2 linked regions of the Daphnia pulex genome follow. The protein of the gene in region 1 purifies or fractionates together with the protein of each later gene. This does not show direct contact. Links are inferred from orthologs where the notes say so. Each region holds a gene or a part of one and is shown on either strand. Other genes may lie near its edges. The genes, in order: low-density lipoprotein receptor-related protein 6-like and axin-like.

What was found.
Region 2: the proteins of low-density lipoprotein receptor-related protein 6-like (region 1) and axin-like purify together in Homo sapiens (affinity purification with western blotting; 7 studies listed by BioGRID and IntAct, with this or other methods). This does not show direct contact. The link is inferred for Daphnia pulex from reciprocal best matches to the Homo sapiens genes LRP6 and AXIN1.

Annotation. Positions count from the first base shown.
Region 1 is NC_060019.1:8,495,711-8,511,316, forward strand, and holds low-density lipoprotein receptor-related protein 6-like, read right to left. Parts: upstream 13,755-15,606; 5' UTR 13,432-13,754; coding exon 13,134-13,431; intron 13,077-13,133; coding exon 12,169-13,076; intron 12,113-12,168; coding exon 11,537-12,112; intron 11,476-11,536; coding exon 10,189-11,475; intron 10,115-10,188; coding exon 7,916-10,114; 3' UTR 7,500-7,915; downstream 1-7,499. Other genes in the region: pancreatic triacylglycerol lipase-like, read left to right, coding at 1-26, 95-152; pancreatic lipase-related protein 2-like, read left to right, coding at 529-601, 675-759, 847-989, 1,058-1,169, 1,232-1,365, 1,432-1,635, 1,712-1,868, 1,944-2,001; uncharacterized protein LOC124190611, read left to right, coding at 15,037-15,606. UniProt on the Homo sapiens protein: Component of the Wnt-Fzd-LRP5-LRP6 complex that triggers beta-catenin signaling through inducing aggregation of receptor-ligand complexes into ribosome-sized signalosomes.
Region 2 is NC_060025.1:2,832,052-2,847,657, forward strand, and holds axin-like, read left to right. Parts: upstream 1-8,212; 5' UTR 8,213-8,363; intron 8,364-9,538; exon of another isoform or gene 9,539-9,760; intron 9,761-9,798; exon of another isoform or gene 9,799-10,021; intron 10,022-10,218; 5' UTR 10,219-10,452; intron 10,453-10,925; 5' UTR 10,926-10,988; coding exon 10,989-11,052; intron 11,053-11,123; coding exon 11,124-11,455; intron 11,456-11,515; coding exon 11,516-11,788; intron 11,789-11,856; coding exon 11,857-12,143; intron 12,144-12,340; coding exon 12,341-12,481; intron 12,482-12,609; coding exon 12,610-12,763; intron 12,764-12,847; coding exon 12,848-12,958; intron 12,959-13,035; coding exon 13,036-13,180; intron 13,181-13,248; coding exon 13,249-13,463; intron 13,464-13,527; coding exon 13,528-13,871; intron 13,872-13,936; coding exon 13,937-14,107; intron 14,108-14,172; coding exon 14,173-14,246; intron 14,247-14,310; coding exon 14,311-14,458; intron 14,459-14,521; coding exon 14,522-14,648; 3' UTR 14,649-15,278; downstream 15,279-15,606. Other genes in the region: eukaryotic initiation factor 4A-I-like, read right to left, coding at 1-28, 90-199, 269-425, 488-754, 819-954, 1,307-1,329; protein mago nashi homolog, read right to left, coding at 2,220-2,319, 2,379-2,572, 2,631-2,689, 2,766-2,856; uncharacterized protein MCAP_0864-like, read left to right, coding at 3,483-4,847. UniProt on the Homo sapiens protein: Component of the beta-catenin destruction complex required for regulating CTNNB1 levels through phosphorylation and ubiquitination, and modulating Wnt-signaling.

The sequences.
Region 1 (15,606 bases):
CTTATGGGGGACACAGTTTCGTTAAAGTAAGTGCTATAAACTAATTATTCGACGATTAATAGCATGCACTGAATGAACCCTTTGTATCAATAAGTGCCCTTGGGATTTACTATTTGAATACCAACGATCAAGCACCTTGGGCTATGGGATGAAATCTGCAAGCATAAAAACAAAAAATGTAAAGCCTGTTTATCGGTTTCAGCTATTCTTCTTTACACACGCTTAGTGAATATGACTTGAGACGCTATAAAAAAAATTATTGCTGCGTGACAAAGTGGTGTAGCCATTAGCATATAGACATATTAATAAAATAATAAAGCGTTTTATTGTTATTTAAACACTTTATTGATGTTTGAAATGGCCTCCGCTTCTATATCTCTATATTCTTACAGTAATAATGAGATCAACCGTATCGCATATCACTAGTTATCTTGCAGTCTTGTATTTATTACGTCGTTGTAGCCTACATATAATAGAATTGAAACCCCGCAGTGCTACGTTTAGTTCAAGGACACATTTCAAAGGAAAATGATTAAGCTCTACTCGTTGATTTGCTTGACATTGGTCCTGATAATAGACGGTTCCTCCGGACTTGGAATCGGTAAAATCTAAATCTAGTTTAACTCTATATTTCAGCATAATCATTACTATATATGTTTTTATCCTCATGAAAGCAGATGAATCTGAACCATTTCTTGATGATTACCAAAGAGAAGTTGGCAACGAAACTGATCTTGTTGTTTACCGGCTCTTTACTAGGTCAGTAAAATTTGCTTTTTATAATTTTGTGTACAAACTGCATAGTGTATATGATTCACTAAATAAATGAATTTATTTTTTTTACAGAAAAAATCCCATAGATTTTCAAGTGTTGAGGCTAAATGATGTAGATTCACTGATGGCATCAAATTACAACCCGAATCTCCCGACCAAAATTTATGCTCCAGGTTGGGATAACAACGGTTCCATTGCGTATCCGACAAGAGATGGTATAACTGAATTTCCCTAACATAAAAGGGCTTTAATATCAAATTAAAATTTCCGCTATTTTTTATAGAGTATCTACTACGAGACGACTGTAATTTTATAATCGTCTACTGGTCTGATCTTCAGGCAGGAAATACTTTGTTTATAGTCCGCACCACCCAGATAGCAGCAAATCATACAGGGTATATTTTACAACACCCTCGAAAATCTTGTTGTTTAAAGAGCCTTACATCTTGTTGTACAGGGCTTTTATAGATTTTTTGGTTGAAAACGGGACGCCATTACGCAACTTTCATTTGATGGGTCATAGTGCAGGGACTCATCTTGCTGGAGGAGCTGGAGCTACAGTTACTACAGGGAGAGTACCTCGAATTACAGGTGAAGGGTAAAGGATGAATAACCCGTTGTGCAGAAAAAATACGTGTTTTGTAAATTTAATGTCAGGTTTGGATCCAGCGGAAGGTAGATGGACATTGAATGAAACAGATACCCGATTGGACGTCAGTGATGCAGAATTTGTCGACATTGTTCATACAAACGGAGGAGATATTTCTAATGGAGAAATTGCTTTCATTGAACCAGTTGGCCATGTTGATTTTTATGTTAATGGAGGCCACAAGCAGCCCGGTTGTCAGGATCCGGATTACAGTAAGATTTTTAAAGTTATCAATCGTGTAAAAGAAATGAGTTACATAATTAAAATTGGTACATTTTTATTCTGTAGCATGCTGCCATCACTGCCGTGCTGTTGATTTATTTGCGGAATCTATCAACACGGAAGTTGGTTTTGTATCACTGCGCTGTGACTCGTACGAGTCATTCCAGAACGGCTCCTGTGATGGAAACGACAAAGAGCTTATGGGAGACACAGTTTCTTTAAAGTAAGTGATTTCATCGACTTTCCACTCATTTTTAACATTTGCACTGATTTCACTATTTTTTTTTCTGTCAATAAGTGCTCGAGGTATTTTCTATTTGGACACAAACGAACAAGAACCGTGGGCTATGGGATGAAAAGACAAAACAACTTAATTGTCCATTTATCTATTTATTTTATTGACGGTATTTGTCACTACTGTGTCAAGATCGTTGCATTTTTTTTTAAATTAAGTAGTTTTTATTAAATTAGAATAATTGTACGAACCCTTGATTTATCAATTGTTTGTAATGTTTTATCGATTTTTTGCAGCGATTACGTATTGCGACTGAACCGCTGAATAGCCACTGCTGAATACGAAGCTGATTCGATGGAAAAGGTTAAAATTTTACTTAAATGAGATCATTACCAATCAAAAGCTAGACTAGCCTACCAATCAAACAGAGACGAAACTTATGATAAAAATGCGAGAAGAATTAAAATAATAAAAAGTTACATAAGAATAAGTCAATCCTTTCAAGAACCCAAAATTTCTACACACCTCTTTGTTACGTGATCACTCAGCTATTCTTAACACACAGTATGAGGGGCTATTAAATTTCCTCGGTACCAGTGTGTATATCGGACAAAAAAGAAGAATTGTGTGTTTGTTATGCTAAGATTTTTACTAGCCATTTGTTTTGACAGATGGTAGAACACAAGTCCTCAAATTTGCCGAATACGGGTATTTTTCAAACATATTTCTGGCTTAAAGGGACTGCGCGCACCTATCATATCTACCTACCTACCCCAAGGGCCAAGGCTTAAAGATTACAGACAAAAGAAAGAATCACCCCCCCCCCCCTCCCACAAATGTTCCGCCATTTGTGTCTCGGAAGACTATATCCGCAAGGGGTTTGACTCGTAATCAAAGAAACCTACGCAATATAGCCTTTTCGTCCTATTACAACTACAACACAAGTAAACTAAGCACATGCTCATAAAAGGAAAAAATGAACTTTAGATAAGAAAAAATTGCGCTTTATAAACTATTTCTTAATATTTTAAAAATGAAGTGGTTTTGATGTAAATCGCATTCTTGTGACGCTTCAGCTGTTAGCTAAATTGATAAAGAAATCCGTACTTAAAGAGCCGTTTTACAACCATTAATTTAGACATATCCGATCTTGTATCCTTGAAGACAACTTTGAGCGATGCGAGTTATATAATTACAATTAAAATAATAATTGCAATTATGAATTACGATTATTAAGGATGTCGTTCTCCAAATGTCGGATAGTCAAACGTCTTAAAGGATGCTTGATAAAATTTTTGGACGAGTGTTTTCAATGAAAACACTTCCTGATAAATAAAATATAAAACCCTACCACAATATAATGAAGAATACAATCTCATCATAAAATTTATTATACTTCTGAAATCTGTCAAGCTGTCCTAAGTGAGCAGCATTAATCGGTCCCTTCGCTGTAGTTAGATTGTGTTAGGACTGTTAGCCTCATCGCTTTGTTCTTCGTCATTTATTAGTGATTAATCCAACGCCATTTTAAGTGTAAGTTACTTTACTGATTCTAGTGCTTGCACAGTTTATTTTTGTACTCATATTTTGTTTCTACTCGAAATTCCTGATTATGGGTATCTTACTGCTTAACAAGTTCGATAATCATCATTTTCCTTCATGTGTGAAAACTTCCAAGCCTCCTTACCATCACTGACCCCTTTTTTTTCAAGTGGCTTTATATATAGCCTTTATTAATCATTTTCAGTTGTCAAATTAGTCAGTTTTAGTTACTTTGCACATCCCTGTAAAAATGTATTCGCAGTTGCTGTGTGGTAACCTTCTGGTGATGACTGACGATAACTATTCCACCAACAAAAAATTAACACTTGTTAATTTTTATTTTTCGATAATTGCTTTTTTTTATCTACTAAATGTATTCCACGGAGACAAATATTTGTTTATTTTTCGTCCGTGGATGCCAAGTGCTGTCACTAGGTGGCTAAATATTTCAGTGTGTTTAGGGATTGAACTATTCAGCCCTAGTGTATTGGTATTAGGGGAGGGGAGGGGGCATCAAACCAAAGTTCTGAGACGAATGACGTCCATTTATTTCTTTTCTATCGAGACGCCGTCGAGGATGGTTACGTTAGTCATTGCGAGGTAATTTCTTTCCTGACATGTTCTCCATAAAAAAGGTAATTCCTGATTTCATTCTTAATGTTAATGTTTTTTTATGGTTAATTTACGGGTTAATTTACGGGTTACATGGCCTTAAATTTATGCTAGCCAATTCCATGTGGCCATGCCTGAAGTACACTTGTCCAAAATGTCGTCTCTTGCGCCATGTTGCACGTTTCGTTGCATGTTGAAGTACTATAGAACAGTACAAGTAATAATATTGAGTAACTTAATAATTATAAGAGTTTGTTTTTCCACATTAAAATTCTGTAATCTAATTTCTGATAGAAAGTTTTATTATGAATTATCATACATAAGTAATCCTAAGTAACCCATCATTTGCCAATATTTTTCTTTGATAGTTTTGTGAATTTTTTCAATTGAGAGCTGAACTTGAATTGAGCTTGTGAAGACATGCACTTCAGTTAATCACAATTTTAAAAGTATATTTTACTCTCTGATTTTACTAATTTAATTTGTGACAGGTTGGTGGAAATTATTCTCAACGTGCAGTGCCAAGTCAACAAGATGCCTCTGTGATCATGCCCTTGATGAGGTCTTTATCATGTTGCGAGATGAAAATGTGAAGAAAACGGAAGGAAATCTGAAATGGTAACATCTACTTGTGTAAAACAACTTGAGTATGTTAGCATTTAGCTTAAATTTTAGTCCATGCATGTGCTGTTCTTTGCTTAGAAGTTACTCAAGTTGGGAGTAGAATTCTTGATTTAGAAATATATGGAGACATTTGAAAAACTACCAACTGCTTAGAATAAGATCCTTTAGAAACTATTTTCATCAGCTTGTAAAAAGTTGTAGTTTTTTAACAATATTTTTTCATACACAACTGAATTTTTTTGTATTTGTTTGAAAATAATCTTGGTTTTTTAACATTCTTTTGTTTTGTAGGAATTCTTTGCGAGTTTGGTGTTGGAGCTGTTAATGGTGGTGATGTCTGGTGTGCAGTGGTGCGGCAGTCATGTTCCAATTTGGAGATGTGCTGAAATGGATCTTCTGCAGACTTGGAAGTTCTACTTCAGACTTCGACTAACATTGTTGGTGTCCATGCAGTGTTGAGCTGTTGTGCAAAAGTTGGTGTCTCCTGAAAGTTGTCTGGCATTTTGTTGGTGTATTCTCTTGCTACCTGTACCCACATTGAGGTAATGCTGGATGAGTTTTTTTTTTTAAATTATTGACTTGCAACTAAATCTCCGTTGTCGTTTTCAGTTCAATCGTACGCCGCCGTTCCAGACTTGATCCATTGGTGAAGCCGAAAAGAGGTTGCTGAAATTCAAGACTGCACAATTTACAAATGCATATCTGTTGTCCCTTTTCCCTGAGTAAACTGCATGTCCGCCGTTGGTTATTCGTCTGGTCGAAAGGGAAATAGCAATGAGAAGTTCTGATGTATTTTTGGAGAAATATTAGTTTGACCACGAAGTAATTCTCCCTTATGATTCGCAATCAACTGTATCTCCTCATATAACGTTTCAACTTGTTCGCTCTTCACATTTATGACCAATATCAATATTATTACTTCGCTAACAATAAAATATGAAACAAACCTATTTTGTTCTTTTTTCCCTATGCATACAACGATTATTACAACCTATATTTAATTTATAACCAAAATAAATAATTTCCTGTCCAAATTTTTATCATTTTTTTCCGCTTCATAAAACAACCACCATATTATTTATTTACTAAGTCTTTTTCGACAAAAATTGGCGATGTCCTTTCATTCTTTTTTTTTTATTAAAAAAATTAACAAAATATTTTGCTATGCAAAATGTTTATTTTATTTATTCAAACACAATATTATAGATATATATTTATGGCCCCCAGGGAGGGGGGGGCCTGTGACTTTCCCAACCGCGATAATAACATGTGCCGTTATTATTTTGTTGGTGCAGAAAGCCGGAATTTAATCTAGCAGTTGTCGACTGTGTCAAACCTGACATAGATCAGGTTGCCTCAATCGTATACTGCACAATAAAAACGCCAAAGACGACAGTGAAACCATTTCAAGACTGCAACACAGGAAATCACTGGTAGAGCAAAAAAAACACACAAAAGAGAACAGATTATTTCACACACAGGATAACATTGGCAGGGCAAAATACACAAATACAAACAGAAAAATATTTAAAGTCAGCGACCCGGATATCACTGGCAACTTCAGGCTGCTTCATGCTAGTTCAGGATACCGCCAGCACAGCTACTTCTGGATAACACTGGAACCACACGCTGCATACAACAGTTCAATTAGTCCCCATCACATCTTTCTCCACCTGGCTGCAACAAGATAACCAACAGCAGACCTATTTAAGAAAACAAAATAATTACCATCGGGGAAAGACAGTGTGTGCACAATTACACAGGACTCTTTAGGACAAAGGAATACCAGGAGTACTGCTCACACACAAGCTACGCAGTCCAACAGATCTTTCCGATATCTCAAATTTTACATAGGAAGTTAGAATTGGCAAGGTATTCAAATGCAAATTGATCTCTAGTCATATTAACCAAGTACTTTAGTAGAAAATTAGATAAACATAATTACTTTTGCTTTTGCTAGGGACGAGACGTACGACTGGCAGCAAGACACGAGGCACGACATTTCGGCAAAATGGACAGGCTCTCGAAAGTCCGAGTTACATGTTTTGACAAAGTGGTATTGAAATCACCTGTCAATTAACACAACGAAATTTAACATTAAGTAACACTAAGAAATTAACAAAAATACCTTTATGACGGATTGCCATATACCTTAACATTTTCATCATGGGAAACGTCACGACCGGCATCCCACTTCTGCTGCGTCAAGGAACAAAATGGCCGAATTTAGTCCCCTGAAAACATTCGCGCCACCTAGCGACAGCCAATTGGATTGCTTGCACGCAGCAGCCAAATTTGAATTCGTCACGCCCTTCAAGGCCTGATTTAGAAATTATTACACAGACCGAGTTTAAAGCTAGTAGATTATTAGTAAATAATCTACGAAAATAAGTGAATTGTCAACAAACACACAAAATTAATCAACACGAAATATTTTCTGTTTTTAATGTAAAAAAAAGAGATGCCCCATTTGCTTACAGCCTCTCGATGACAAATCAGATGCGATGAGACATCTGATCAGAGATACGGGGATATCTACAAATTAGAAGCGTAAGAACCTGAAAAAGAATCTAACAAGTGGTGCGATATGAAAAACAAACCCCACGATAGAAATATTCAATTTCCATTCCCCCCCCCCCCCAGAAACTAAAATAATTGTATGTAAATAGCAATAGCTTACTTTAAAACAAGATGAGTATGACATTCCGTAATAATAACCCGCCAATGGCCGTAATAGAGAACACTTTGACTAAGTGCCCAGTGTCCACCAAGTTGCGGTCTTAACTTTTTTTAAAGACTTGACTTGTGATGTTGAACATCAATCGGACGCTGAAGACTCCATAAGAAGAGATACCACAGTGTATTATTTAAGGCAATACAACGGAGTGGTTGGCACAATGAGGCAGTCTCCTGCCCGTATTTTCACGAAACTTGGGAAAGAAATTAGTTGCCGGGAGAAAAAAAAACGAAGTAACGAAATGAGATGTCAACCGTACCAAATTTTTCTCATAATTTTGCACTCAATCAAAAGGGAGCATAGTAGTAATAGATATATTCATAGATAACACGATGGGTTACGCGGCTACCCAGGTGGAAGGAGAGGATCGAGAAAAAGAAAGTCAAGGAGCACATGATTGTCTTCTTGTTAGAAATTATTTACATGATTAAAATAGCTGTACAGTTTCGTTCAAATAATTCCGATTCCGCGTTCATTTATGGGGAAAAAAATCTAATAAAAAATTGTAGAACATCTAAATCTACTGAGGTGATGGAGAAGGTGGAGGGGGTAAAGGATTAAAATATGATCGTTCTGTCGAAGGTGATGGCGGACATGATGCATCTGACACGTAATGTGATCTTGCTGGAGTAGGTGGTGGAGGGTAAGGATCACTATCGTAGTCCGCTCCCAATCGTTGGTGTCGATGTGAAGACTGTTGCCTTCTACCAGCATTTTTAAATCCTGGGCCCATCTTGGGTATAGACGAAGGCGAAGGTGAACTGTGATAAGCCACTTGCGAATCCGATTCTTCGAAGTTGTCGGTACTGCAGGGTGTGGGTGGTGGAGGCTGGTTGCGGACTTTGTAATGCTTATAAGATCGTAAAGTAGAATAAACTTGGCTCGAAGTACCACTTAGCCTGGGTTGATGTCCCAGATGGTGCCCACGAGCAGTCTGACGGCTCAATGTGTGCGACTTGTGAGATTGACCACTCACAGCTGTACAGCAGTATGGTTCCGTGCAGTGAGATCGTGTATCTGTTGCCGGGCTGGGCGGTGGATTTAGAGTCTCCTGAGGATATCCAGGACCGCTCGAACTCGAACTCGATGCACCAGTAACATGACTGCGGTCGTACAATTGGCAGCTGGAACTTGAACCAACCACGACGCCACCTCCATCCACAATAATGGCTCCCCCATTTTTCACTCCACGGCCGCTCAAGAGGTCCACCGCGCTGCTGCCGAGGTGAGAGGATGCTCCTACACCTGCCGTCCTTTCACCAACAATATTACTGACATATTGAAGTTGATAGTCTGTTTGCAGTTGAGTGTGGCCGGGTACAATAGTGTGCCGGGGCGCAACTGGATTGAGAGGATCGTGGGCTCCTTCGTCAGGGTCAGCGTGGCTGTGATGTCGTCTATGCCAACAGAAAAAGAGAACACAAAGGAGTGCAACCGATCCCAATCCAACCACAATGCCGATGATGTAAGTAGTCCTGATGGACGAATCACCGGCTAACGGATTAGCCACACGGTTTGCGCAGGAAGTAACTGATTCGTCGGATTCATCCGGGCAATGAGGCACACCATCGCAAAGAAGAATATCGGGAAGACAAAGTTCTGAACAGTAAAATTGTCCAAGGGGACAACACCTTTGTTCATCTGATCGATCCATACATTGAGGGACGCCATCACATTCATGTTTCTTAGCGATGCACTGGCCGGTCTGGCACCGGAACTGATCTGGCCGACATTCTGGGCAATCTTCTTCATCCGAAGCATCTGAACATTCCGTCTGACCATCACAACGCCACGACAGGGGAATGCAGCGAGTGGCCCCGCTTCCAGACGGTCCCGTTTCGTAAATTCCGGAACGACAGGTAAAATGTTCTGGAGAACAAGCAGGTGGTTCAACACACGTTTTGCCATCCTCGAGTATCATGTTTAATGGACAAGCACATCTGCCACGTTCGCCGGAATCCATCAATACGCAAAGATGACCACAGCCTGAGTTGGGTGGATAACACGGATTGGATGCTAGAGTATTTGGATCCAGTGTAGACGTTGAAAGTAAATCCGACAAATATGGAATCCGACCCTGGACTCTTTGTCTGTCTTCACCGTTAATCTTGAGTGCTCGTTCGATGAGTTGTGAATCCTTTTCTAACCAATAAAGGTGCCGTCCGTGAACAGTTAATGCAATAGGCTGAACTAATTGAGAAGAGATCAACTTCCTGCGGTTGGTTCCGTCTAGAGCTGCAACTTCGATGACCTTCAAACTGGTGTCAGCCCAAAAGATCATCTCCTCTTCTGTGTCGATAGTCAGCGCTGAAGGTTGGTCAATATCTGTTTCTATTATCTTGACGCGGTCACTACCGTCTAAACGGCACCGTTCGATTCGGGCCGGCGAGACTAAGTTGGTGAAGAACAGCCATCCTTTGACAGGGTGAACGGCCAAGTTCCTTGGTTTGTCGCTGGTGGACGGACCTCCAACCAGGATACCAACAGAAAGGTGATTGTCGATTCTGGTAGCGTTGATGGCATTGAACCTTGAGCAACTCCAAAAGAGAACTCGTGAATAAGGTTCCACTGCCAAATCGTATGGATGTAGTGACTGTGTTGGATTGGCCACAACAACTGAAGCTTGTGTCCCATTATCTAGGGCGCGACGAATGGTTTGTGATCGTCCGTCTATCCAGTACAAGTGCTGTCCCACTGGGTCAAACTCAATACCACGAACCTTGAAACAATACACAGATAAGCGTTAGAAGCAAAATTTCTATAACCAATACAAAAATAAAAAGGATATAATACTTGTTTCAAGCCTCGAATAGGCAGAATCACATCCGGGCTATCAGGGGAACTCGGAAGAAGTCGGTTGATGTAATTCTTTTGGCTGAAGAGAAGAAATGATTTCGGGGCGACACATGTTTTGTTGTCTGCCACAAGCTCGTAATGGGTGGGACAGGTACATCGATGAGTATGCGATTGACGGACGACTACTGTAGTTGCTGGTAGATTTGTCGCTGCAGCAGCAGACGACGTCGATGCTGATGAAGAAGATGCAGCGGTCGTTGTAGAAGAAACTGATGGCTGAGTACGAGGTGAGGAACTACTAGTAGATCCAGCTGGTAGAGCAAGGCACAGGTGAGAACACCCTCCGTTATTGACAGCACAGGGGTTCCAGCCGGACTGTCGCGACGAATGGAAGACGAGAATATCCATAACGTAATCTACCTGAGTTTGGATACGTGTTCTGTTTTCACCCGATTGCTTGTGGGCTCTCTCGATCGAGCGTGTTGTCCAGTCAGCCCAGTAAATAAACTCCTCATACTGCGTCAGGCCGTGCGGCTGAGGCATATTACCCGAGACCACAACTTGTCGTTGTTTGCCGTCTAGGTCACAGCTCTCAATGTGCTTGCCGTCAACATCGGCCCAGTAGAGGCGTCTGTCGGCAAAGTCTACCACCAACCCGTTGACGCGACCTACACCATTGACCAAAGTGATGCGTTGGCTCCCATCTAGTCCAGCGCGTTCAATGTGTGGGACAGAACCCCAGACACCGAGGTACATGTAGCCTTCTCCTGGGTCTAGGGCGATGCTGCGTGGATTTTTCAAATCTTTCCAAATCAAAACACGCCGCGAAGATCCGTCAAGTCGGGCCACTTCCACACGATGGCTTCCCATGTCTGCCCAATAGATATTGTGGGCCACCCAGTCGACAGCCATGCCTTCTGGATACTCCAAACCAAATTCAACCACCACTTCCAGATTTGATCCGTTCATAAAGGCTCGCGAAATGGACTTGACTCCTATATCTGTCCAGTAAATGCGATTGTCGTTGACGTCGAAATCTAAGGCACTAGCTTCTTTGACACCAGCAATCGGAATGATAACGTTTTTGTGGTTTGCTTCTAAACTGATGCGGCGAATGTCTTCTTTACGAGTGAAGAGCAAGAAAGCTTCCGGAATCACACAGTTAATCTCATCAGCCGTCAATTCGTAACCGATGGGACAGGCACAAACATATTTGCCTGGTCGGTTCAGGCACAAGTGGGAACAACCACCATTTCCAACAGCACAAGGATTTGTCCCTCGAACCTGCAAATTCATAAGCTTTAAAATTGGCACAAAACAAAATGTTTTTAATGAATTGTTCTACCTCTGTGATATTGATTGCTTTCAGTCCCATAAGATCTGGGAGCTGATCTACAATGATTTTGCGATCCTCGCCCGTCCACTTATGCACTCTCTCAATACTACGATGTTGCCAGTCTGTCCAGTAGAGAAAATCGCCGAGCAAGGAGAAACCGAAAATGTGGGGCACATTTTCGCTGAGTATTTCTTTGCGTTTGGAGCCGTCCATGTCAGCCACTTCAATTTTGTCCGTTTTTGCATCACACCAGTAGAGGCGACGCTGAACGTAATCGAGAGCGATACCGTTGGGCCAGCCCAAGGAAGTATTTACAAGGACTACGCGATCCGAGCCATCCATGGAAGCTCGTTCAATTTTCGGCTCTTTACCCCAATCAGTCCAAAACATCCAGCCAACTTCAGGATCTAAGGCCAGGGCACGGGGTTCATCCAAATTTTCTGATATGAGCACCTTACGCCAGGTGCCATTGAGTCGAGCAACTTCAATTCTATCCGTCCCAGTATCTGTCCAATAAAGGTTACGGCCGATCCAGTCTACAGCAATTCCGTCCGGGTGGTCAACTTCAGCCATAACAACATCCTCCTAGAAAACGAAATGAAATAACAACAGTAACGAAAGCATATTTCATGACGAATTACCTGTTGACTGCCATCAAGTTTTGCACGACGAATGCCTCGAACTTCGTCATCTGACCAGTAGACAAATCCATCAACGGGATCGTAGTCGACTGCGATGGCGTGTTTGACGCCATCCAAAGGTAGAACGACGTCTGTGTAGTCAGGAGTGTCGAGTGAGATGCGCCTCAGATCAGTACGCCTTGCCAACAGCAACAACTGTTGAGCACCATCAGCGCACGTAAAATTGTCGACTAATTTTGACCCTGTGGGGCATGCACAGGTGAACCATGGAGGATAAGGAGCTGAGAGACAAAGATGAGAACACTTGGCATTCTGATTCTGACACGGTAAGGCGCTATAGGGTTGCCTCTCTTGGTCGTACACGTGAATGTCCATAGGAGTAAGAGAAGAGCCAAGAACAGCTTTCCTACCAGCTCCCGTTTTCTTATTGCATGAATGAATGGATTTGGTCTGCCAATCGGTCCAGTACAGCACATTTTTGTACATGGTCAAAGCAAACGGATGTTGTAAATCTCCCTGACTTACTGTTCTCCGATTTGCACCAGTTAGACTGGCTGAACAGATGATATTCAACTTGGCGTCGGCCCAAAATATGGCCTCTTCTTCATAATCAATAGTCAGTCCATTGGGCCAAAATATTTCATCCTTGATAATGACATGTCTTGTTGTAAGATCACCATTCATGCCAGCAGATTCAATTTTGGGATTCTCTCCCCAATCGGTCCAGAACAGCAAGCCTTTCTTTGGAAACAAGCAGATGGCTCTTGGCTGATCCAAGTCCTCCCAAAAAAGAACTTTTCTGTTTTCTCCATTCAGTGTTGAAACTTCAAGGCGATTGGTTTCACTATCTGTCCAATACAACTTGTTCCCCAACCAATCTATCGCCAGCCCATCTGGGGACACCAAACCTTTCACAAAAACAAAATTAAGCAACTACGAAAGCTTGCACTAAAATATTATCTTACCTGTAGTGATAACATTTGTTTTATTAAGTAAATTGGCTCCCTGATGGTAGGCACATCGAATCATCTCAAGGCTAATGTCTGTCCAGCAGACCATCCCCTTCTCATAATGATAATCAAGGGCAGCAGCATCCTCGAGATCCTTAATGATGATGGTGACATTGTTGTTTCGATTCCTTGGCTGAGTGGCGTCCACCAAACGAATATCTTTGCGATTGGCGAATAAAAGCCAAGGATGAGAAGAGGCACCTTGTTGGACGGTTACAAGGAAAACCGCCAAGAGCTGCACCAACAATCGCATCGTTTCGATTTAAACACCAAGCACATGATACAAGCTACATTGCAAGTAAAACACTGTGGTAAGTTTATACAACGCTAATCGAACAATTAACTGTTGTTTTCTTATAGGTTCAGTTTGATGAAAACTTCATGATTCGCAAAAACAACTAAATTCCGAAACAGTTGTCACTGGCTAAACCAAGCCACTGGGCGCCATCTTGATTAATTTTTTTTTACCCTATAATGGTATGTCAACGTTGCCGTACATTTTTTTCCTTTTCTATTTACCGTTTATGGCATCCAGATCCACCAGATACAGCCTCTTTCTCTTCTACCTTTTCTTCTTCTGTTGAGTTTTGACCCTTTCATAACCCCTTGGGAATTGTTTTTCAATATGAAAAGGTATCAATCCAACTCGTTCATATCGTACTCCCACTTTGCCCTAACGCTTTTCCAAACCTAACCCACTATGAATTTTGGACCTCGATTCAAAGAGTTAACTTACTCTAACCCCTAATAAAAAGTTGAAATACTACTACATTATGGATATGTTTACCGACTTGCATCTAATCAAACGGACCAACAAATAAATGCTAATTGATGGTGTTCTTAAGATCGTTCCAACTGAACAGTACTCGCAAATGATTTAAGACAACAAGATACATTTGAATAGATCCTTGTATGATTCCATTGGACAAGTAGCATATACGTCTTCCAAAATCCTCATCGACAATAAGAAGAATTTGTTGGTTCAACACACTTTTGACCAAGGAGCAATTCAAGGTTCTGCTGACAATCCACCTTACAACTTCAGCTTCTTCCTGCGCCAATGACGACGCTTGGCGTTGTATCTAGAAATGAGTAATATAAAAACTGTTAGCTCACTGTGACTTAATTAAGCTCACTGTGAATTAAATAGCTAGTAGTAATTACCTGATGGTATTGTCAGTCCTCAGACGAATCCATTGAGGAATCGGCCTATTTTGCTTCATCTTCTTGGCCAGAAGCTTCTTGACTTTCAAGGTTTTGTGGGCCCCCTTTACAAAAACAAGAAAAGAACGATCAGACATGAACTCAACACGAACTTATACATATTAGCACACAAATCTATAAAACACACATAAGAAACGTCGATGGTATTAAAAACTGCTAATATTTAACGATAAAACTCTCTTTTACCATATTGCCTTTGGAGACTTGCAGAAGAAAAGTGAGCGATAGACACTCACGCTGGAGTTGACGAAACCCACACACAGTGACTTGTGGCGCTTTTGTGGCGTTGCCGATGAGAAGAAACATATAAAATCAATCATATTTGAATCATGTCTTTTTTCCCAAAACTTGTTTGGTTATAAATTCTTCTTTAAAATAAATCCAATAGTTTATTCGATATATCTTTATGAATTGAATTATATTATTCGTTTTTAAATAAACGACGCCGTCGGTATTTACGTCAAAGCACCATCTGTTAGTCAACTAACGGACGAAACGCAGAAAGTTTTTTTTTGTTTTATTTATATTCTTCATACGTCAAAAACAGTTCATTATTGTTTTGTTTTACATATAAACTACGACGACACAACAGGCTGTATAATTTCATTCTTGACTAGTATTCTGTGATTTTATCATGTCAGGAAGCAGACCGGTGAATGGAAATCGCCAACGGAATCTCTCTGTGACGAGCAATACGTCATCGTCTAGTTATAAAGATAATTCATCCGTCAATTACAGGAACTCTGATCATGTTCCCGATCACCGTAGAACAAGTAGATCTTCTAGAACAAGTTCTTCAACAGCGAATGCAAATGGTGTCAGAGACAACAATCATCAGTTCTTGTCTAGTACAAACTCGTCCTTCAGGGATTTCCAGAGACCCACATCTCTGTATGAATCCGGATCAGCACTCAACAACCCATCTGAAGGAGAGCACAGGGAGATGCAAGAGAAGATGCGTGAACTGCAGCAAAAGAAGTGGCAGTATGATAATGCCATGTCCCAGTTACAGCAGATGCATTCCCCATTCTCAGATGAACCAACTCCAAATGCAACTAGAGCTGAAATGACCAACAATGCTGAAACAGTTTATACTTCCATTAGCAATCGAGCTAGAAAACTCCAAGAGGCTCAGCAAAGACTTATCCAGCTGCAAGAATTGATGCAAAATGTTTCCATAGACCTCGACTACAATCCCTATACT
Region 2 (15,606 bases), on another chromosome or scaffold:
CCGGCATCGTGGCCGAAAGCAGAATGACCTATGATAAATTAGTCGAAATTGATACTCTATACGTATTTTAACTCGCCATTTTCACTCACCTGCACTTCAGCGGGCAAATTCTTGAAAACATCATAAATCTGATCCTTGAAACCACGAGACAACATTTCATCGGCTTCATCCAACACGAAGACTTTGATGCAATTCGTCTCTGAATATTTGTGAAAAGAATTTCAATGAACGAATGCACACAATGAAGAAGATGGTATCATGGACTTACTCAATGCTCGTCGGTTGATCATGTCGAAGACACGACCTGGAGTTCCAACGACGACGTGGACACCTTGTGACAGTTTGCGAAGATCTTCACGAACATTGGTTCCACCAATGCAAGCGTGGCATTGCGCATCCATGTAGTCACCAAGGGCCAAAACGACCTAAGTTGTTGAAATCTGTTTAAAATCCAAGTTCACTCAACCCATAACCACTTGACTCATACTTTCTGAATCTGCTGGGCCAACTCGCGAGTGGGAGCCAACACGAGCGCCTGACATTCATTGGCATCGATGTCAATCTGCTGCAACAACGAGATGGCGAAAGTCGCCGTCTTGCCGGTACCAGACTGGGCTTGAGCAATAACATCATGACCCATAATACAGGGCAAGATGGCACGCTGCTGAATGGCAGAGGGACGCTCAAAACCATAAGCATAGATACCACGCAGCAGCTTCTCCTTCAACTTCATCTCATCGAAGTTGTCCACAATCTGTAAAAAAAAGTAATGTTTCATGTTACGATGCTACTTGAGATTCTGGTGTCCTTGAACTCACTTTATCCCAGTTGGACTCAATGACACCGTCAGGGTCCATGCCTGGTGGGCCATCATAGTTTCCACGGTCCTCAGCCTCTCCTTCAGGACGTTCTTCAGTCCCATTCTTGGGAGCCTTCCCGCTCCAATTCTCTTCCCTGAAACAGACATTTCAGAATGAGTTAACTTGCATATGTGGAAGACCATAGAATGTTAAATGAAACCACATGATTACAACTATCACAATGAATATTACTACAGGACACAATAAAATAACTCCATATTAATTCAGTTAAAGCATTTAGCAAAAAATGAATCAACCCCACGCCGCCATGATGTACCAGCCGGGGCACTCGTGACAAAATCCCAAATTTTAACGTTTAACTCTCAAGGAATGACTGATCTAATAAATTCCAGAGTAACAGCACTAATTAAAGCGACTAAGGACGTATCTTTGGAAACTTAAACGACACGAAAAAGACAAATAAACCACGAAATCGGCAGCAGTACCTGTTATCGTTCGAGTATGACATGTTTCAACAGACAGCCAAAAAAACGTAAAGGCAGAACGATCCGCAAAACGGAAGCAAAGGAATGGAAACCTAGGGTAGGCAATTTCTTTTGCAACACACCTACCCTAAACACACATTGCTCAGGTTGAACTTGACAAGTTTATTTTACTTAACTTTTTTTTAAAGAAAGTGAATTAAACTTGGTTCCATTACTAAATGATTTGGAAATCATAAAATTTAAAATTTAAGGTCAAATTGTATCTATTTCAGTTAGTTGTTAACATTTTCAGTGTAGGCAGGGGAGAGAGCTTAGGACATTTAAATAGCGTGGGATGTGATGTGTCATTGACATTGACTCATTTCATTTAACGGTTCGGAAAATATTTGAGGAAATAATTCAGTTGAAAGTATTGCAAAATATGTTGGAAAAAAGTAGGCCAGTTAGTTTTATTTACGCATTTACAAGAAATGCCATAAGCCAGTATCGCCAGGTCTCGTGCATTTGTTGCGTAAAATCGATCTTTCCTATTCGCAAGGACGTTTAACCGGTTTTTTAATCATATTCATTCTACATTCTAGCGAGGTCCCGTAATGTAGATATCTCGAACAAGATAGCTCATGAAAAATCTATAAACAACGGCTTTCATCCTCCAGGGTTTCTATTGATAACATTACACACCCAAATTAACACCCTTCTGTTGTCAAAAATCAGTATCCTTCACTTTTCATTTTTGTCTGATTATAAAAAGAATATATGTTCATGAATACACTACACTTTGTCATGTTTGAGTACTAAAACAAAATTCTTCAAGAAATCCTTTTTTATTACTTGGACAAAAAAAAATCATACACCATATGGGATAGTTAGATGGAAAATTGACATTTGACAATACACATCACAGTCAAAATCTTTAAATGGGTTTGATCTTGAAGTGGAGACCAATGAGAGAGAACACGAGACACTTCAAATCCTGGACCAGATAGTAAAATGCACGTAATCCATCAGCATCTCTGTAAAATATTAAGGGAAATTAAACTAATTTACTGGTTTCAAAATAATATAGATTTACTTTGATTGATTGACATCTACAAGGGAGCCAATCTTTGATGTTGAGAATGAAATGTGTTCATCTCCCATGACAATTTCAAGCTCTTGTCTTCCAACACGATCAGGAGTTGGCCACAGGGAATCATCTTCTTGAAGAATTTCAGAGTCTTCGATAACTCGTTTCAACTCATTCAAAACACTTTGATGAACATATGCCTAAAGAAAGAAATCAAATGTTGCAGATCTTGATAAACATATATCTTGTTGAAATTACCTCTTTTCTGATCATGGTGTCATTTTTATAATTGGAATTATTGGCGTATCTCAGTTTGCCTAAAAAGAAATTAGGACGACCCGGTATTTAGTGAAAGGTGCAAATGTGACATCAAATAACATGATATTTAGTTACCATCAGGCCTAAATTCAAACTCGAGAAACTCGTGGCCGAATTTTCCCTTGTGCCCAACATAATATCGTAAATAAAACTCGCTTTTCGGCATTTTGTGTAATAAATTACGATTTGTAAATTTCAGTGAAACAACCCACGCTACTCGCTTGTGTTCTACTGCTGGTTACCCCCTCTCCAAAACAAGCCGAAACATTCATCCCTAAACACATTTTACAATGTCGTTCGCTTTGCAGTGTAAAAAACCATGGTGGTTTAAACCGGGTTTTAACTCAAATTTAATAAATATACTTGGTAATTTGACGATTTGACTAATTTACCGAATAAATTTCATCGACGAATTCAAGTTTAGACAAGTTATTTAGTTTGCAAATTTACCGCCCAGGCGCTCTGTCGCATTTTCAAACCAGGCAAACCGTAATCTCGACTTTTCTCGAGCACAATGCTGAGTTTTAAAATGGAAAAAAAGAGTTGATAGTTATTTTCAATCAACTTCACACTAATTGAATAACATGCGCAAATTTATAAACTATGATTTAAGTTCAGTACGAATGTTAAAAAGAAAAAACCTAATAAGAGGTGAAAGAAAAAGAAGGAAAAAACAGCCCTGCATAAGTAATGATTCCCATGGCAGGTTATATAAAGCCCAAGTCAACGCCAACAGATAATAAGACTGCTTAGTAGTTTTGGTTTACAAAAGTTTTCAGCAGATATTTCGAGATGGGTCTTTTATTGGAAATCGTTGTGATTTGGGTTTGGGTGAAATATTTTACCGAAAAATCTTCTCCTAGTACCAAAAATCAGCATTCATCAGCTGAATACCCAAACAGCGTCGATGTTGAACCGGAAGTTTGTCAAGACACCAGACAGCGGCTCACAGTGGATTCGGAAATGCTAACAACAACCAGCATTCCCGATGAGCAATTCCAAACAGAGGAGAATGGCAAGTTGAAAAGAGACAATGAACGTTTGGCAAATCAAGTTATCCAACTGAAACTTGAACTTTCCACGTTGAGCTCAGAACATGACGAGGTACGTGACGAGCTAATTTCTACCAGGTGTGAACTGTATGCCAAAAATCGAGACATCACCAACTTCGAGAAAACCATCTCGCACCTGAAGAACAACCAATCAGCACTGAATGTCGACGACGTTGATGATTTTAATCCTGCCAACACCAAGTCCGCACTAGCACAGAACAACGTGATACTAGTCCCGGAACAGGAGGATAAGTCGACTCAAACCGTGGATGTGCAACTTCCTACGACGGTCGTTGATAACAGGATTGAGGAACTTGAAGATCAGTACAAAAAGATATGCGCTCATAATACATCTATGCAACGAAAGATGAGAGGGTTCCACGCTGCCCGTAATATTCTTCAAAGCGCAAACGAAAAGCTTGTCCTCCAACTAGACAGCAAAGCAAAAGAACTTGAGGAAGAAAAAGCCTTGTCAAAGAAGAAAATCCAGGAGTTAGAAAGCGACCACCAGGAAAGCGTCGGAAAAATTCGACAATACTACCAAACTTTGCTTAACAACAGAAACTGCAAAAACAATGAACTTGAAGAAATTATCTCAGAGTTGTACTCTATAATTGATGAATGCGAAGAAAACCACCGCACTGAGATGGAAGAAATGGATACGAGGTATTCAAAAGTAATCGATGAACAAAACGAACACTTGATGCAGCTGGAGTCTAGGGTTGCCGAGTTGACACAGAAAAACTGCGAATTGAACGACACTGTGGACGAACTAGAGCTCAGCTCTTACGCGCTACCAGATTACTACAAGATTCTGAACGTGAAAAGGACAGACACCGACGAAAAAATCATGAAGTCCTACAAAGAGAAAATTCTACAAGCCCATCCGGACAAGGTCAATCAGATACAAACAGATGATGTTGAAAAAGCGTTGATGAAGGCAAACCGACTAAGCCAGGCACTTAATCGTGCAAAGGACTTATTAATAGAACCGAGACTTCGGTACCAATACGACAGCTGGTTAGACATGACGGAGATCAAGAAAACAGAGAAGAAAATGTGGGATTATAAAGCGTTTGAAGAACGGAAACGTTACAGGAATTAAAGCCGCCCTTATGTTTAATCTTCGATTTTCTTTGGATGAGTTGCAGTTGATTTGGTTTTTGTTTTTTTGTGTTTTTTTACCGAAGTTAAGTAATGTTAGAAGCTGAATGTCAGTCTTGCGATTGATATTTGTTGATTTGTGATGACGCTCCCTCCTCGTAACAATCCGGAAGGGAATGGTGGGTGAACCTGTCAATGGAGTTGGTGTGTCGCTGTTGTGCGTGGGGACTTCTGAATATACTTTGAACTGCACAAGATGATTTGTCATTGGGAAGTACGAAAGTGCTTACACAATACAACTCCTCTAACAGTCAGAGAAGTAGGTTGTCCTCACCCTACATGTCAGTGTAACATTTGACTACCTTGACAGGGGGTTTAATTACCCTTAAATGAGTCCACCAATTCTTTACGGTAAGTTACGATGGAGACAGCCGAGCAAGTTGACCATTATCGATTGTAGGGCTGGTTCAGTTTCTTTCATTATTAGCTTCGGTTTTTTAATTTTTTTTTCATTCGTTCTTTTTCTCAATAAATCGGGTTCTGTCCCATATATAATCTCAATCGTGTTGTTTGACCTTTTCTTATTCCTCATCATTTATGGTAGTATGTACTTAAATTCGATGGTATGTGCTATTCATAATTTTCTGGGGGGTTTAATATTACCCTTTTTAAATGAGTCTATCACACTTCTTGACCTGTTCTTGACGTGCGTTTACGGTGGAGATGGCTGGCTGTGCAGCTTGGCAGCAGAAGTTGTCAGTTACTTCTCTTGTTTCCTCATCAAGCTTCTGGACACGGGGATTGTACAACTATACAAACACCGCCCATTACCAGTTTGACTGAAGAAGGCTATAGATTTTAAAAAAAGGATATTTCAACGATTTCAATCTGCCATTTTTGATTACATCCTCACTTAAGTTCCTCCCTTGATTTTAAAATTTTTGGTAAACAGTGGCAGATTTAAGGTGTTGCCATATTTTTAAAAATTAACCTGAGAGTCCCAAAGTTAATTTATCACGATATTTCTCTTATGCATAATGACTTGGTCGTGAACGCGGTCTGACCGATGACTTAAGAGACGCGCCATCTAATGTCGCCCACCCTTCCAAAACTAAAGCTGACGGTTAACATTCACACTAGGTACAATGGTACATTTGTGTTTACTTAAACAAAGGCTCCCTGACTTGCGCAAATCTTCTATCTTTGTTTTTATTTATTTTGAAAGAAATTTGAGTGGCGATCATCTTCCCTGTCTCATTGTCACATAAATTATATTTTTAATTTTTTTAAAATAAAATATTGTGAGGACAGCGCCATTTTATCGAATGGTGGAAGGGACAGTTTCGTCTAGGACATATGTAGAATCACTATCGGGAAATTGATTCACCAAAGAGGTGACGTCTTTTATTTGCGGAAAGAAATCCGGTCCAACGAACATTATATTATTTGTACAAGATTCCATTTCTGTATTTCAAAATCTTGAACCGTGATCTTAGCCGGGTTCTGATGCGTAAAACACGGTAAAAAGTTTTCATATGAGAAAAAGATAAAGAAAGGTTAAATTTCGTCACTTCACAAAGATATTATAGATATTCGGTTATACCGGTTCGATGTCAAATCGAAACATTGGTCAACAGCAGCTACTGCGAAACAAATGTTCTTTCACCTTTAGCATACTATATACACACGTTTATCTAATGTCACGAAATAGATTTGTCTACCTGTCTTGCTCAAAACGGTCGGTAACATCATACGGGTCTGTCTCACTAACAAAGTAATCACTATAGTATACCTCAATCGGAACAAATACATAACGATGAATGAATTGAGCAAGCTCATAATTATCGCCTTGAAACACTTTGCGTGATTCCACCCCCTTTGTGTGTAATACGATTTCCCGCAAAGAAAATCATATAATCTATTCAAACTGATAATGAGATTTGGCTGCACCTGCGTGCACCCATCAGGAGAAAGCCCGAAAACTCATTGCTCAAAATTCATTCATAATATACTACTCATCCGCAATAGTTATTGATCCGGAACTGGTCAATAATTCAAAGGTCTTGCGCGGGGGACAAATAGCAAAGTCCGTATTATTTCGCAACATATGTTTTCCGATCAATGTGTGTCGATTCAGCCGATCTAAGCGTTTTTTTTTTATTTATTATAATTTTTCCATATCGTGTGACGTAAGCAAAGGTTTTCAAAACCGAGTCCAAAGTTGGACCGCTAGACGTCCTCCTAGTTATCCTTGTGTACGTACTTCATGGCCAAAGGCTTTAGTGAAGATTTCAAAGTGTCGATGATTTATTATAAAAGGCGGCAGATATCGTAAAAGTGTTTCACTCTTGAACCCACACGAAGCTACAGGCGATTAAAAGATTTGGAATCTGTTTGAAAAAAGAAAGGGATAAACAAAAAAATTGTTTTTCAAAAGGGAAAAATCTTCATTTCAATGTGACTTGGCAGTTTTACGGGGCAGGATTTGATGACTTGATGTACACATCTACCGTTATATTACGGTGTTTGAAGAAGAAGTAAATAATACTATATCCTCTCTCGTCATTTAAACCATTCGAAACTTAATCTGGAGAGAGTGTCAATCAAAATGAAATCAATTCTCTCTTGAGCTCTTAAGATTGCGTAGATTTATTCTTGTGTGTGACTCATATATCAAGACATGGACGACATTTATAGGCCGGAATTAAACGCGAATCAATCCATCTTTTATCGCCAGTAATCTCGATGACTCAAATTCTTTATTTTTTCCCTAATGAAAGTCGATGATAAAATCTGGCGTTGCTAGCGCATTAATGAACATAAAAGACCCCCTCTTTTTCTTATAAAATAATAAATTCCAAATAATAATAATAATAATAATAATAATACTCGTTGTTTGTATACAACGGATGCACTATATATCCATGGCGCATCAGTATTAATGACTAGCGCCGCCAAGATGTCGCGTTCTTTTCTTTCATTTAAGATTTTCTTATCTTGGAGTAGCGCGGCTCTTTTTCTCTTTCCTCTTTACCCCAAAAGTTAAAAAAGAAACCGCCGCGCTCGCGCGCCAGTGTGTAATCTGATTTCCCCGTGTCTGTATGTGTGTGTGTGTATGTGTGTAGGAGAGATAATTCCCAATGAAGCTGCTGCTGCACAGTTAGACTGCCCAGGGTCCGCTGAGTGATCATCATCATCGTGCGAGACAAATGAGTGCGACCAATAGACCAAACCGCCGCCGCCGCCACTTTTTAAAATTTTGAGCGCAGATAAAAGCCTCAAAATGTGGCAAGACCTTTAACTCGCGGTATAAATATCAGATCCATCTTTATTTTTTTTCCTACCCGAATGACACAGATATCTGGTGGGGGTATAAGAAAGGAGTTGGTCGGCGAGGTGTTTAGACGTGTCCGCGGTGAAGTGCAATTGTTGTTGTTGTTGTTCATCCATCATCTTTTGGTCCAACGGTGGAACTAATTTGCCGACTTCAGCAGCAGCAGCTTCGATTTGATTCCAGGTAGGTAGATATATTTTGAGAACATCCATCTTTTATTATAATATACTATATAAGATGCAATTGAGTCGGATGCAAATTGATCCGGGACATCCATCAACTTGGCTGTCGGCGGAAGTGGCCTCCTCCTCCTCCTTTTGGGCGGCCGCCGCCGTTTGATAATTTCGCCGCGCGGCAGCAGACAACAATTCCCACCATCCTATCCTAATAATAATAAGAAAAAGAGCTGATCTATATTTACGATGCTGCGGCATTTTGTTGGCTTGAATCCATCTGCTGCTGGTCGCGTAATCGACCAAGAGTCACTTTACCTTGACACGTCGTCGGCAATGGAATTTCGTTTTTTTTTCCCCGGACAACACATTCTCTCCAGCATTTTGAAGAAAGAGATAGATGACATCAACATCTCGAACCCCGCAAGCCAGCATGCTGCTGGTTAAAAGCCTTTTTTTTTATTTTTCTATTTTTTAACTTGAAATATACTCAAAAAAGAGCCGCGGGTCAATAGAAGAAAGGCCGCCGCCGCCGCCACCGCCGCCTTCCTTTTTTTAACACATAGTCTTGATTATCGCGCGGCTTGTTTTTTCTTCTTGGCCCGACGTGAAGACCTTGAGTGTGTGGTGGCTACCGCCGAAGAAGAATACCCTCTCTAGTCCTATGAAAATGTATGTAACCACCATTAAGGGCAATCATCAGAGTAGGTACAAGACCGACATGATGTCTTGATGGCACACAACGAATCCAGGTGAGGGCAAAACGCCAGGAGGCGTAGATCGACCTGGCTGGATTGATCTAGCTTTTAACTTTGACGTGATATTATATATACAACTCAATCGCTTTTTAGAAAATATATATATAAATACAGCAGAGGCGACATTTCCACAGAAGGAAGGAATTTGAGTTACATGAACCCGCTCCAAGGCTTCCCCCCTTTTCTTCTTTTTTGGGTGTTATTTGTTCGGTACACTTTGATGCCCTTTCATGGAAGCATTATGCAGGCAACACTCGAGATGTATGCATAAGATTATTGCCAATGTAAAAAAAAGTAAAGATCATTAGGCGATTTTTGTGAAAGAATGTCGGCACCTGCAAAGTCATGGCGAAAAGCTGAAGAAAAAGAAAGAAAGAATAAAGGAACTTGTGAGGAAGAAGAATGTCTTGGCGAATCGATTTCTAGCCAACTATCGATATATAGACATCGGGTGTACGTTTCTCGATACGATATAGGGGGAATGGGAACTGAGTTGTTTGGAGTTGAGCAGAAGCCGTCCGTCTTTTTTTCGAGTTTCATTTATTTCATTTTTTTGTGTTTTCTGTTTCTTTCCCTGAGTTGTGGCCCGTTGTTGACACGACGGCCGAAATTAATCTGAAAAAATTCGAGTGAAAATTCGATGGAAAAGGTAAATTAAGAGGAGAAACAGAAATCTGACAGAGTGATGCCCCTAGGTTATGCCCCTACTGCATACACATCTGAAAAAGTGACAATGGGCAAGCGATGGGTTTACCTAGACTCGCGTGCCCAGTGATTATTTGCAATCTAGGCAACTCCATTTACCACTCAGACTTATTGAATGTGATGGAAAATGAAATGCAAGTCTTGACTACGGGGAGGCATCACTCTTTTGTCAGGATTGTGAGCAGAGTCTGTATTGATCGACCTGGTGAGAGCTTTTGTAGTGAGTGGGGAGAACTCGGAGAGCAATTTCACTCTTCTCTCCCTTCTCATTTGTAATCCAGGGGCTCTCATCCAGTTTTTTCCAGCTGTCAAATATTGTGAACATTTGAGTAGTGGAAAACACAATAGCTTCTGCTTATGGTTAACAAACTGGTCGATAACTCTTGTACTCTTGTATTACAGGATTTCATCCAGAACCCGTGACAACAATTGGACCACTCATGTGAAGATATCGGGCCTCATTAAGGACTGAAGAGATCGACCCAATAGTTGCAACCCCCACAGACCGTCCAATTATGTTGATGCAGTAGTGATTCGTCGCAGTGTGCCTTATTCATAGCGTGCCTCATAGAAGAAACCAACTCCTCCTTCGCTTCACCCCTCTTATTTCACCAGTCTGGAACTAGATGCTGCCTGGTAAGCAACCTCCGTTTTTTCCATCTCTATTGTAGTCCATTTTTTCCTATTGTTATCTTGCACTCACCAAAAAATGAAAAATCTCCCTACTCATTGTTACGTTGTCAGATTATATTTCGCGCTCCAACGATTCCAATCAATGCTTACCCACCAAAAACTTGCAGTTATTTCTTTTTTTGCTTTCTGATGGTGAGGAGGGGGGCTAGAAGAGGAGGGGGGGGCTGGTGGGCGGAAGAGTGGGTCTTCCAAAGCCGGATATGGGATCTGGGAACGAATTTCTCTGGATGGATTCTCTACACACAGTTGCTGTGGCAGCAGAGTTTAGTTTATTTTGTGAAATTGCCAACTTCGGTTCAGTAGAAGAGTCCAATGTTGATGTTTTTGCTCTAACCAGTGACATCAAGTTGTGATTCGAGTTTCTGGCCATGTTAAAATGTGTGCTAACCATTTCGTTGCATCTCTTTCGTGTCCAGGTGATGCTGCTCCTGTTTTATTTATCGTCCGTTGACTACAACGAACTTGTACAGTGTTAAGTGATGAATGGAGGTGGATCTGTGATTCGTTTTTCGGAATCTGCTCCTCGACCCCCTGTCTTCCCAGGTATGATCCAACTGGTCGCCTTTGTGTGTGCTTATTACATTCATTCTAATGTTGTTGCGTTTTTAATTCAGGTGAAGAAAATGTGCCGTCAAGTCAGGTGAAGATGGATCCATGGGCTTCACGGTTCGGAAGGCGGGGCCCGTCGCATCCTTCGACGCTGTCGCCCTCCAAAGGTTCATCACCCGTCCTGACGCCTCGCAGACATGGCCAGTCGATGGACGAGAACGACTTGGCTCGCCGCTACGAACCGGCTGAAGGATCGGCCTCCACGTCTCCACCCTTGGTCGAAACGCCGCCCTATTTGCGATGGGCTGAAAATCTTCATTTCCTCCTGACCGATCCCGACGGCGTCGAACTCTTTGAAAAATATCTCGAACAGGAAAATTGTTCTCATTTACTCAAAGTATGTCCCCATCAACTGCAATTTCTTTTTCGTATTTTTCACTCATTTTTTGTTTTGCAGTTTTGGTTTGCCTGCGAAGGCCTCAAACGAAACTGGGCAGAAGATCCCGAAAAAGCTGTCCAAATCATCCAAGTCATTTACAAAAAGTACATCCGGCTCAAAAGGGTCAATGTGTCGGAACTGAATCGGCGTGAGATTAACGACCGAGTGGCCAACAAAGCTACCCTTGACGCGCATATCTTTGACGAAGCGCAAAAGGATGTCGAAGATCTTATCCGCAGCTCAGTTTACGTCAACTTCCTAAATTCGGACGTCTATTTATCTTACATTCAAGTAAAGAGTCGATCACTTTCATCGCTTTGACATCTATCTCATTTTACGTCCTCTTATAAATTATCTAGTCTATGCAAAATGGCATCCCGGATTCGCCTCGAAGCGGCCGGAGTCAAGGAGGAGGTTCAGACATCACCGCCAAATCTTCCGTCGCCCCTGATCTCGCCGGAACGGGCGCTTCAGATGATCGAGGACCTCACCTAGGGCCATTGCCTACTTTGCACGAAGATTCTGAATTCTCTTATCCTGCCGTCGAGCTCAACAAGCCAATCCCACTGACGCATGACGCTCTCATGGCCACCAAGAATGTCCGGATGAACGTCGAATCCCGACCAGTAGGCGGCCTCTACCCAAGGTGAGTCATCGTTATAGAATGTCTTTGAAAAATTGCATGATCAATTTCTTTCTTTCTCATTTTTTATTTTTTTTTCAAACTTTTGCCTGAATTTTTATTTAATTGGAATGCCGTTATGATTCTTATTTCAATTCACTTATTATTTCGTTTTTTTTTTTCGGTTTCCGTTTTTTTCTTTACGTTTATTTACGGGGTAGTAGTCGAGTGCCCCACAACCCATATCACTCCGTGCACACAACCAGCTATTACGCGCCGTACAATCCCGTTTCACGCCAGGATTCCGAGATATCCTCTGATGCTCATACGGACGACACTCGCTCACTGACCGATGGTTCTGTGTAAGAATTTCGAATGAATGTTTCTTTATTTTTAGTTATATTTTTTAAATGTTTTAGAGCCTGCAAACAATTTTATTTCAGTAATTATTCGTTCAACATTAACTTGTAACAAACGTGTCGTTTTATAGCGATGGTTCTGTCCTGTTTTACCCGGCCAAGCCTAACCGGCACCAACTGCGCAAAGCTCGGCAAAAGATTTCAAACGACTGTATGAGAAATCGTGATCCGTCTATAAACCAGCCATTCATCCCGCGAACTCAGCGTCTTCCACCCAAAGAACAGGTTATACACCTCGACATTCATCACGACTGAATCAGGTTTTTTTTTTTAAATAAAAAGGGAATGTTTTTTCTTGTTTGGTCGCAGCAGGTGATGCCCAAGACGCCGCAAGAATTCGCCGCTGAGCTCATCCAAAAGTTGGAAGCCGTTAAACGAGATCGGGAATCTGAAGAAAAGTTGCTCCGGATTGTCGCTGAGGTTGGTGGCATTTTCCCACGTTTTCTCTTTAAACAGCCAAAGTGCATTTTAAGCAAAAACTATTTGTTTTCATACAGAGGGATAGTGAAGCCAGTGGATTGGATGAGCCATGCCCGCAAGGCGCCCGCTTCAAACCCGGATCTGAATGCTCAGCTCGTGTTTTGGCAGAAGCACTGTCCAAAATCGCTTCTTCAAATGAAGCCGACACACAATCGATTCTCGGTAATGTGCACGATTTGATCTGTTGTGAAGTTCTATCTTAATCGAGTGGAATATTATTATTTTTACAGATAACCACGTCCAAAGAATCTGGGCAGATCAGACGCCATTGCGATCACCCGGTGCACCTTCACCTCGGCCGTGGTCTCCAGAGAACCGGCGTCGATTGCCACCGAATTCTGTGGCTATTCCAACGAAAACCAGTGGGCCACCAATAATGAGCTCTTCTGCATATGGACCCGGCTATTTCCAACGCTCCTCAGCCCATCATCGGCGAAAAGACAAGGTAAATGTCTATTCAATTCTAATTCTTCGTGAACTGGGACTTTACGGAATATTTTAATTTTCAGGATATCGAAAAGGGTTCGACCTACTCAGCAGACTCGGGTGCGATTCTCGATCAAGGTGACAGCGGAAGAGAAAATCGAGCTCACTTTTCCAAGTCGCAATCAATTCCTGATACGCGCCGGATTGGTATGACGTCCTCTCTTGGGGGAGCTAGCAGTGCCATCGGCAGCAAGAAATCAGAATACGATCGTGTCCATGACAGTGGTCTTTGCCTCCATACGGACCCTAATCCTGGAACACTAATGGCACCGCCTTCACAGCCACCCAAGGAAAAAGTGCTCCACTGGATCAGCACCAATGACAAATGGCAAGAAGCTGATAGAGATCCGTCTTCCAGCAAGCACAGGTAATTGTTTAATCAACTCAGGCCTAATCGGGTGGATCTCTAACAATTTCTTTTTTGATGGTTAGGTCGCGTCCACCGAGTTCGACTTCACCCATTTCTTCCAGAAGGAGTCGGCAACACAAGTCCGCTTACGGGACTTCGAGGTCGGAATCGCTGGAACGAGCTGGAGCTTCCGCCGGTCATTTAACGCAAAGTGAAGACGATATGGCTAGAAATCGTCCTCCAACCAAGCCAAAGTAAGTTTAATAAAACGAAAACTAAATTCACTTATTTGATTCATTTATTGATCCAATCATTCTAGACCTAGCGTATCACAGCCAACTTCCACTCACTCGACAACGATGAAGAAACCAGCAAGTAGTGGAGCTCTCTCAGGTAAACAAGGAACAATTCAGCAGCGTTGGTTGTTCGCCCCCACTCATTCCATTTTGATTCACAGGTGAAGGAAGCTCAGCCCCAACAGAATGCACTGTTGTGACGTTCACTTTTGGAGATGAGCCCGTGCCCTACCGCAGCCGGATACCTGGACGAACTGTCACGCTCAAGCAATTCAAAGAAATTTGTGTGCCCAAAAAAGGAAACTACAAGTAAGGAAGACTCTTAATTATTTTTCACAAAGCTTTGTACTCTAATCATCTTTTGTTAATTAGGTACTACTTTAAGACGAATTGCGAGGACGACGTAGCGATGGCAGTCAATCAGGAGGTTATTGACGACTCTGAGATTCTACCACTCTGGGAAGACAAAGTGCTGGGTATCGTCAAGCTTGTCGATTAGAATTGATGATGTTATGGAAAAGATATTGTCTTGAAAACTTTACAAAAAAAAACTCTTTAAAATGAACCTGAGTTTATGTTGCAGCTTAACATTACCCTCCTTCAAAATCTTCAGCCCTGTCTTTTATTTTGTATGATGTCAGTTCTATTTTTGTCATTGTCGTTTTTCATCGATTCACGCGTTGTTTTTTCTCTTAACTCCTGTCTTTTGATAGAAATCGAGTTTCTTTTATTTCTTTTCTCTTTTATTTTGAGAAGCGTGCAACAATCGTGTCGTAGTAATTTACCCTTTTTCCAGCATGAATGAATATTTGTTTAATTGTCGCGCTGAGACTTCTTTCTTCCCTCCTGCATTTCCTTTTTATACTTTGTCTGGGCCAAAAAAAAAACTAATTTAAGAAAAAAAAATGTTGGAAGATTTGCCTTAGCCAGAATATTTTTTTTTTAACTTCGCAATCGTCTGATTTGTACACATCCATCGAGTATTCTCTGAAAGATAAGGAATGACATGTGTTCAACTCCGATTCCTCGTCTACCACTATCTCCATCCCGCCCAAATAAAACCGCCACTTCATCTGAAGCATTACTAATACGCAAACGTTTCATTACAATTTTATGAAATTGTTTTGTATAACTGTGGACATTCATTTCGACATCCAACTTGGTTTCATTATAAGTCGGGGTTTTTTATGTTTTTTGTGAAGCTATACTTGGCAGTTAAGAATTTCAAGCCAAACGACTTTTCAAATTTTCATTTGAAACGAAAGTAATCATAATTATTCACATTTTCACTTGCCATTTTTAAAGATAAATCTCATTTTGGGCGGGAATTTAAGCAAGAACTAAGTAGAAACCAATGCGATGCTAGCGACATCTAACTACAATCGAAGTGCTTGATTTGTCTATTTTCTTTTATGGGAAAAAGAAATAGTCAGATCACATGCGTTAGCAAAATATCC